Linked DNA regions of Solanum lycopersicum. The protein of the gene in region 2 binds, or shares a complex with, the protein of the main gene of each other region. Links are inferred from orthologs where the notes say so. Each region holds a gene or a part of one and is shown on either strand. Other genes may lie near its edges.

Region 1 (3,652 bases), on a different chromosome or scaffold from region 2:
AACTTTTTCTATGTGTTCTCAAACTTCTATAGTTGTTAAATTAGTCATACAAAATATGTGTTTCCCTCTATTTATACACATCAGTCTCAATTTTAAGTAATTTACTTATGTAATAAACATTCCTTCAAAGACCGGATAGATCTAAGTCATGGTAAGTAATCTCTTGCAAAACCTTTTTATAAGGCAGGTTGCAATACGTCCCATAGTTCTCTATCTAAGATAGATAGTCCAAGTAGGTTTCTAAGGATAAGAATTAAGGAATGTCGGTGTCAGTTCAAATGTGATAATATATACAGAAAACGTCTAACAAAAATATGTTCAACTGTTCAGTTCAAAAAAACCCATAATTTAAGTGTCAATGGCTTCATCAACCGCTTTGTAATACTTGCTCTATTTGGGCCTATAAAAAATCATATCAAAAGCTCAACAGAAGTTCAACTAAATTTTGCTATATCCACATTGAAAAGATTCAGTTATTTTATTTAGCGTACAGAAAGGCATAAGCACAAATACATGGCTGCGTCAATCTAATTAGCAAAATAAATGTAGTAAGTACAATATCAGCAAAAGCCTGAAAATTGACAACAATTCAAAAGCCAACTGTTGACAATATCTGATAATTTACACGAATTAACTAACCTATAAAGCACTACAGAAGAAAGGATCCACCACAAGCAGCATATGCTTGAATGGCCAATCTACAAGTGATATACATTACAGTAAGAAATCCAAAAGCTGAAAGAATAAATGACTTAGGCCACAGCATTAGGAAGACCGTTCGTGAGTTTCAAGTTGTATACTGAGATCATCCAAGCCGTGACAACCTTGTATCCGTAATCCATGTTCATTAGCAAGATGCAGTAAGCAAATGAAGCATAAATGAGGAGATATTGCATCGACGGATGTTGATGCTTTGCATTCGTTTGGAAAAGCAGCCAAGATGTGCTTGAAAGATACACCTTCTTCCTGCACATTACCATGTGAATCATTCAGGATATAGATGTCTGACAAACATGCTAAAAGGTAAATGGATAAAGCCCCGTCAATTAGAATGTTATGCTGATCAATGATAAGAGAACAACCCTGGAGGAACTGCTTAACAAAGGGAGTCTTGAACCGCATTAATTAAATAAAATTGGCTAAAGAAATTGTCATAAAGTCAGCCAATTTAGTAGTTCATTTATAATCTCATTAATGACTATGCAGTTATATTCATTTGCTTTACAGCTTCCCACCCTTTTGAGGGATTTAAGTTGAATACTGGAGTAAATCAAGTATGTAAATTTTCTAGATATTTCATCAATCAAATTCAGACCTTAACAGACTATCGTACAATTGCTCTGGCACACCCTTTTATTGTTTAAATGATAAACAAGTCTAACTAATATCGGATGTTTAGCTTCCAATTGATTGCTTCCATATTAGATGTAATCAATTAGTTCAAAACTGCATATCCAACTAAGATAAATGAATATCCACTTGTCAACTATATTATACTACAGAATGGAGAAAAAAAATGGATCACTTGCTCATCTCCTTAGAACTATTTTCACTTGCTACTATTTAAGAAGAGCCAATATCAAACGTTTGACCTTAACAATCCCTGGTAAACACTAAGTAGGTGTTTGGACATGATCTGATTGAGATATAAGAAAAGTTGTATTTGAAGTTGAAGAAGGGGTATTTGGAAGTTAGAAATTGTGATTGGACATGAAAACAAGTTTAAGTTTCATATGTACAAGTTGAATGAAAACATGAAAAACTCAAACTTCAAATTTGAAGTTAAATAGCCGGTCAATTTGATAAACAAACAGTTGCTTGAAATAATCTACAAATACCATTTCAAATTTCCGAACCAAAATCTATGGCAAAATAATAATAATACTCTCCTTATCAGTTGATGTGGCACTATCACTCGGCATGGTGATGAGAACGAATACTAAATTTGTTGTATATAAGAGGATATTCTACATGGGAAAAATGCATAAATTCACTAGCAAGAAGTAGAACACACTACCAGTGAAGTAAGAAGTTTGAACTCACCTCAACTGATGTTTGATTCAATTGGTCCCAAAGTGTTTCCTTAAGTGCTTGAACATCTACTTGTTTGGATGTTTTATCATACTGAACTTCAATCTTGTTTACCTGTTAATTCAGACAAGGTCACTAGATGTTTCAGTTTGCTTCAAAAGAAGCCCTCCATCTAGCAAATTCTACAGAGGAACAACATCCCCTAGTAACTGTGCAACGAAAGATTTCTGTCGGAATAAGTTTCCATTTAGCAAGCAACATGAACATTTTGACATTTTTCCTCCCACATATTAAGTGACAGATAACACAATTTGACGTTTCTTCTCTTACGTTTGCCTAAAGAATAAAGGAACTAATGCTTATTAATGCTGCAAATGTCCTTGATGAAGTATATTTTCTTTTCAACATAAACAATGACTTATTAACGATAGTACCAAAGAGCCACAAGAAAAAAGAAAGAAAGAAACAGGTACAGCAAAACCTTAATAGAACAGCTAAGGTGCAAATTTCTTAAAAGCAAAAATCAGTGACAGGGTTTGAAGTGCCTGGTACTCATAACATGATATTTGGTAGTAACTGGTTAAGTACAAGTTGATAAATGTTTAAGTCATAGTTTTGCAGGAGATCTCACTCAATTGTATATATCATACTTGATCAATTGTTGGCCTAAGCGTCGAAAGTTACACTAGGAGGAATCGAGATTGCAGAACCACAAACATATATAGTCAAGATTTGCAAACAGGAACAAACCTGGCGGGGTTGAGAGACAAGTGTACTTGATTCCTCCACATCACTAAATGTGTTGCCATCATCAAAAGCCTCAGGAAATCCACCATCATCATCCCAAGATGGCATGGCTCCAAAATCTTCACTTTGTTGACCAGCTTCATCTACACAAAGAACCATGCAACTCAAGTCACATAGTAACAATTTTTTCATCTGCCACAATACGTGACATTCCGATTTTTTATGAAAACTGGTAAATATACAGCAACAGGAGTACGTTAATTCTATAGGCAGTAGAAGACACAACCTATGAAATAGTCAAGAAGCCAATAGAGAGCATTCATATCTAGGAAAGTAGGATTTACAAAAGACATCGCAAGAACTCTTCTAAATTCAACTCAAAAGCAGATGAAATCATTTAAAGCACTTAATTGTCAAAAGCCACAGTAGTGTCACTGCTCTAGTAGGTAAGATGACCTAGCAAAAATGCATTTGAATTCAAATTCAACATTTGCAGTTAAAAATCAACTGCAAAAACAGAATCTATCACTCATTAATGTTATACATATCCATAATTATGTCCATGTACAAAGTTTTAACAGTTGATGGCCATAAAAATTATCTCACCTGGGATTTGCTTTCCTCTCCTTCCAAGGCACTAAGGCAAGAGAATACAAGCAATCAGAATGTATTTTTAAGGTAGTCAGCAAATAACAAACTCATCAAAGTGACGAGACTTACCGTGACATTGGGTCGGAGAAACAGCTTCACAAGATTCTCAGGTTGATAATGACAATCTTCTGGAAGTAATCTGTTACACGGTGTTCTATTTGCTGGAAGGAGTAGTAACTTGGGATTCTTTGGAGGAGCAAAGACATGCAATAGATCAGTGTCC
Region 2 (4,255 bases):
AAAGGTGTTTTTTTTTAGCTTATAAGCTGTTTTAAGTTGACCACATTTTTATCTTTTTGCCCTTAATATTTTTTACAATCTCCAAATTACCAACATAACCCTAACATCTCTTTCTTCCATTTTTCCATTTTCACGTTTGACATAGCAACTTCAGCACTTTTATCCAAACGCATAACTGCTTATTTTAAAAATAAGTTTCAACACTTTCAAAAGTACTTTTTTAAAGCTGCTTTTATTAAGTCCATCGGAACGGACCCTAAGTCTCTCCATACTTTTTTTTTTTGACTTAAAAGTTATTTCAATTTGACTTTTTATTTTTAATTTAAAAACTATTTTTTTAAGCAAATTCAAACAAAACCTAAATCATACTTCATTAACAAGGCATAAAAATATTTTAAGGCATCACATTAATAAATGACGTCTTGGTTTTCACTTTACAAATGGATGTCTGCAACTACATGCTATTACAAAATTTCAAATACTCAGAATTATTCAAAGACCCACTAATCAATAATATTGCTAATTAGCTAGTCTTCAAAATAATCATTTTCATATGATACAAACTTTAAACTAAACAGTCACGTTTAAGAGTTCATAAATTTTGAAATTACAATTTGATTTCTGGTGATTTTGAAATTATAATTTTAAGCTAATCTCGTAAGCATACACTGATTTCAAATGAAATTGAGATTCAAACCTTATAGCCCTAGTATGCATACAAAGATGATAATTTTCATATATAGCAAAAAAATTTATATTTGTATGTTATAACAAAGTTTGCATAATTGCGTTCTATAGCAAACATAAAATTGTACAATTCGCTATACATATACAATTGTATAATTCGCTGGCCAAAATTGTATAATTCGCTGGCCTAAATTGTATAATTCGCTATCCTATTTCGCTGCGATTGTATAATTCGCTGCCTATTTCGCTGCAATATTTTTATAAAATTTGCTTTGCATACAGTTGAATTAAATTAAAATGTATGTATATTGCATAATTATAAGTATATAGCAAGAAGATATATATTTTTCTCTCCCTTTATACAAAAACAGAAACACAATTTATACACTTCTGTTATATAAAACTAGAGAAAATTGTATTTCACTGCAATTGTATAATTCGTTGGTCTTTTTCTCTGCAATATTTAAACTAAAATGTATGTAAATTGCATAATTAAGTGTATAACTTGAAGTTATATATTTTTGCATGTGTATATACGATTTTCTCTCGCTTTATACAAAACAGAAACATAATTATACACTTATGTGTATAAAGCAAGAGAGGCGAGCGAGAATGGAGAGTGGCGAGCGAGATTTCTGGGAGAGAGACGCTGACAAATTTTAGCTAATGTTTGCTATGGAGCACAATTAAATCAAAACCTAGCTATTTCATTTATTTTAGGTTATTAGTTTGCTATTATATATAATTTTTCCTAGAAAGATTTAGGCTAGGAAAGGATTATTTGGGCTTCAGGAAATTAGGCCGACGCGATACTCATAAGGCCGTCTACGACGTTCAACGGTTCAATTTACTGGTCTGGGCTTCGGCTTAGAAGAGCCCATTATGAGAGCCTAAATCTTACCGGAGTTTCCCGCCCATCTATTACTAGTTGTTCTGGCTAAAAATTTAAATTCTTACGCGCTACCACTTTTTTTTAATTTTAAAAAATAGTAGTAGTAGTTCAAATCTTCTCTCACGCTCCTCTTCTACCCCAGCACTTCGCCGGACTCCTTTTCTACTCCAGCACTTCGCTGGAGTTGACCTTCAGTAGCAAGTCTTTCGGTTCTTCTTTTCAGTACAGCCTAAAGCTATTCTCCGGGAGTAAAAATGGCCGTAGATAAGGAATTCTCGAACTCCCACGAATCCAATAATGAGTCATCTCATCCTGGATCTAGACCTCCGAGGCTATTCATTAAAGAGATGGTGATGAGAAACTTCAAATCTTATGCCGGCGAACAGCGCGTTGGCCCATTCCACAAGGTTAGGGTTTGCTTTTACACATTTTTCAGTAATTGAATATTTCAGGAATTAGGTGGTAATTGAATATTTTAGAAATTAAGTTAATTCCTTCTATGTAATAAAATTCTCTACTGTACAGAGTTTTTCTGCAGTTGTTGGTCCTAATGGTAGTGGAAAGAGTAATGTCATCGACGCAATGCTCTTCGTCTTCGGAAAGCGGGCCAAACAGGTAAGACTATGTGTTTTTTTTTTATTTCATGTTTTTTGGCACCTTGATTATGATAAAATTGGATAATTCATTGTCATAACTTCTAAAATATTATTCTCTTGATGAATAAAGTAAAAGTTGACTATGCTACAAAATTAGTTGATCACTAGCTTAGTTTCGTTTGATGTAAAACTTACTAACCTGTATGACTGGAAACTGCTGTTAGCTCTGCTAAGTTGGAGCTCGGGGAAAACTAGCCTTTTAAAATGGACCATTCCATCTGCATGCTTATTGAAATTTGAGCTTGAATGATTAACTCTGCAGATGCGTCTAAACAAAGTGTCAGAGCTCATCCACAATTCAAGTAACCATCAGAATTTGGAAAGTGCTGGCGTGTCTGTTCATTTTCAGGAAATTATAGATTTGGTAATTGTGGATTTTCCTCTTTCTGAGATAACTATTTAGAATCTGTGTTATATTCTTAGTGTTTCTATTGTTTAAATAGGATGATGAGACATATGAGGCTGTTCGTGGAAGTGATTTTGTAATCACACGTGTGGCATTTCGAGATAATTCCTCTAAGTACTATATCAATGACCGGACAAGTAACTTTACAGAGGTCACTAAGATGTTGAAAGGGAAAGGGATTGATCTAGATAACAACCGATTTCTGATTCTTCAGGTCTATATTGTTTTTGTCATGTGATCTTTGTTAATTTCGCAAATTTTGGATTCTATTCATGTGGAGATGTCCATGGAATTTTCAAAAATCCAAACTTCTCATAGAGATGTAGAAGTTTCTTGAACGAACCACACTAAATAGGTGGTTTTTTTGCAGGGTGAGGTTGAACAAATATCACTGATGAAGCCTAGAGGACAAGGACCACATGATGAAGGCTTTCTTGAGTATTTAGAGGATATTATCGGAACCGACAAATATGTTGAGAAGATTGATGAATCATTCAAGCAGTTAGTTCTCACTGTGAAATGATTTTCTTTTTGGCAGAAAAAACGTTTTTAGTTTCAAACTAAATCTTGTGATACCATAATAGTTATGCTGCTCTTTTCCTTACCAGTATGTTCTTTCCTTTCTCCCTTGTGTATGGTTTGCATCCTTATTTTTATAGCTTTGTATGTTAATTTACTCATGAGTGTGTTATGTGTACTCAGTAAGAAGATTGTGTGCCTAAAAAGATGCACTTGATACCTCTAGAATCTGCATTCACTATTTTTTGATGCTATCATAGGCTAGAAGTCCTCAATGAAAGAAGGTCTGGTGTTGTTCAAATGGTTAAGTTAGCTGAGAAAGAAAGAGATAACTTGGAGGTAAGATTAGACCATTACATAATTTATGATTTGTTGTGCTCTTAGAAATGTGTTTATGTTGTCCATTCCTTCAATAATAGGGAGTGAAGAATGACGCAGAAGCCTACATGCTTAAAGAATTATCACTTCTCAAATGGCAAGAGAAAGCAACAAAATTGGCTTTTGAAGATAATTCAACTCGATTTACAGAGATGCAGGCGAACATTTCTAGACAAGAAGAGATTCTTAAAAGTGAAAGGTGGCTTACTATATTTTCTGAGGGCTATGCAAGAACATAGTGCTTTTTTTCTTTTTTGTTTACTTGGGATAAATCTGGAACCTCCCTCCCTTCTTTGTTTTCCCTTAGTTTTGTTGCAAGAAAAGAGATGAACTCCTCTATCAGTGCCTGTAGTTACGTTTCTTCATTTCAATACAATCCCCCTTCGTTACAGTAGTGCTTTCATTCAACACTCAATGAATTTTTTAAAAAACTTTTCAGGGAGAAAATTAAGGAAAATAGCAAGTCATTGAAGGACCTTGAGTCAAAACATTCGAAGTTTCTGAAAAGACAAGAGGTATGGAGTACAAAGTGTGTATACCATTGCATATTTATCCTGTTATTAAGAAAGAGGTGGTTTCCTTGGGAGGACGTAAGCATTACGATATTATGGTTTTAAATCTGACTATTACAATGGTCAAATAATTCAGATTTGTTTTGCTCAAAACTTGTAGGAGCTTGATAACGATCTGAGGCGCTGCAAGGATGAGTTCAAGGAA

What was found. Proteins that work in one complex are often made in the same cells at the same time.
Region 1: structural maintenance of chromosomes protein 4 (region 2) and condensin complex subunit 2 share a complex: the UniProt entries of both Arabidopsis thaliana proteins name them as parts of the condensin complex. The link is inferred for Solanum lycopersicum from reciprocal best matches to the Arabidopsis thaliana genes SMC3 and EMB2795.

Annotation. Positions count from the first base shown.
Region 1 is NC_090806.1:62,344,342-62,347,993, reverse strand, and holds the end of condensin complex subunit 2, read right to left. Parts: coding exon 3,499-3,652; intron 3,416-3,498; coding exon 3,385-3,415; intron 2,922-3,384; coding exon 2,782-2,921; intron 2,146-2,781; coding exon 2,044-2,145; intron 967-2,043; coding exon 766-966; 3' UTR 501-765; downstream 1-500. UniProt on the Arabidopsis thaliana protein: Regulatory subunit of the condensin complex, a complex required for conversion of interphase chromatin into mitotic-like condense chromosomes.
Region 2 is NC_090801.1:66,527,670-66,531,924, forward strand, and holds the start of structural maintenance of chromosomes protein 4, read left to right. Parts: upstream 1-1,455; 5' UTR 1,456-1,833; coding exon 1,834-1,986; intron 1,987-2,104; coding exon 2,105-2,194; intron 2,195-2,497; coding exon 2,498-2,599; intron 2,600-2,678; coding exon 2,679-2,855; intron 2,856-3,011; coding exon 3,012-3,142; intron 3,143-3,420; coding exon 3,421-3,499; intron 3,500-3,579; coding exon 3,580-3,737; intron 3,738-3,977; coding exon 3,978-4,053; intron 4,054-4,210; coding exon 4,211-4,255. UniProt on the Arabidopsis thaliana protein: Central component of the condensin complex, a complex required for conversion of interphase chromatin into mitotic-like condense chromosomes.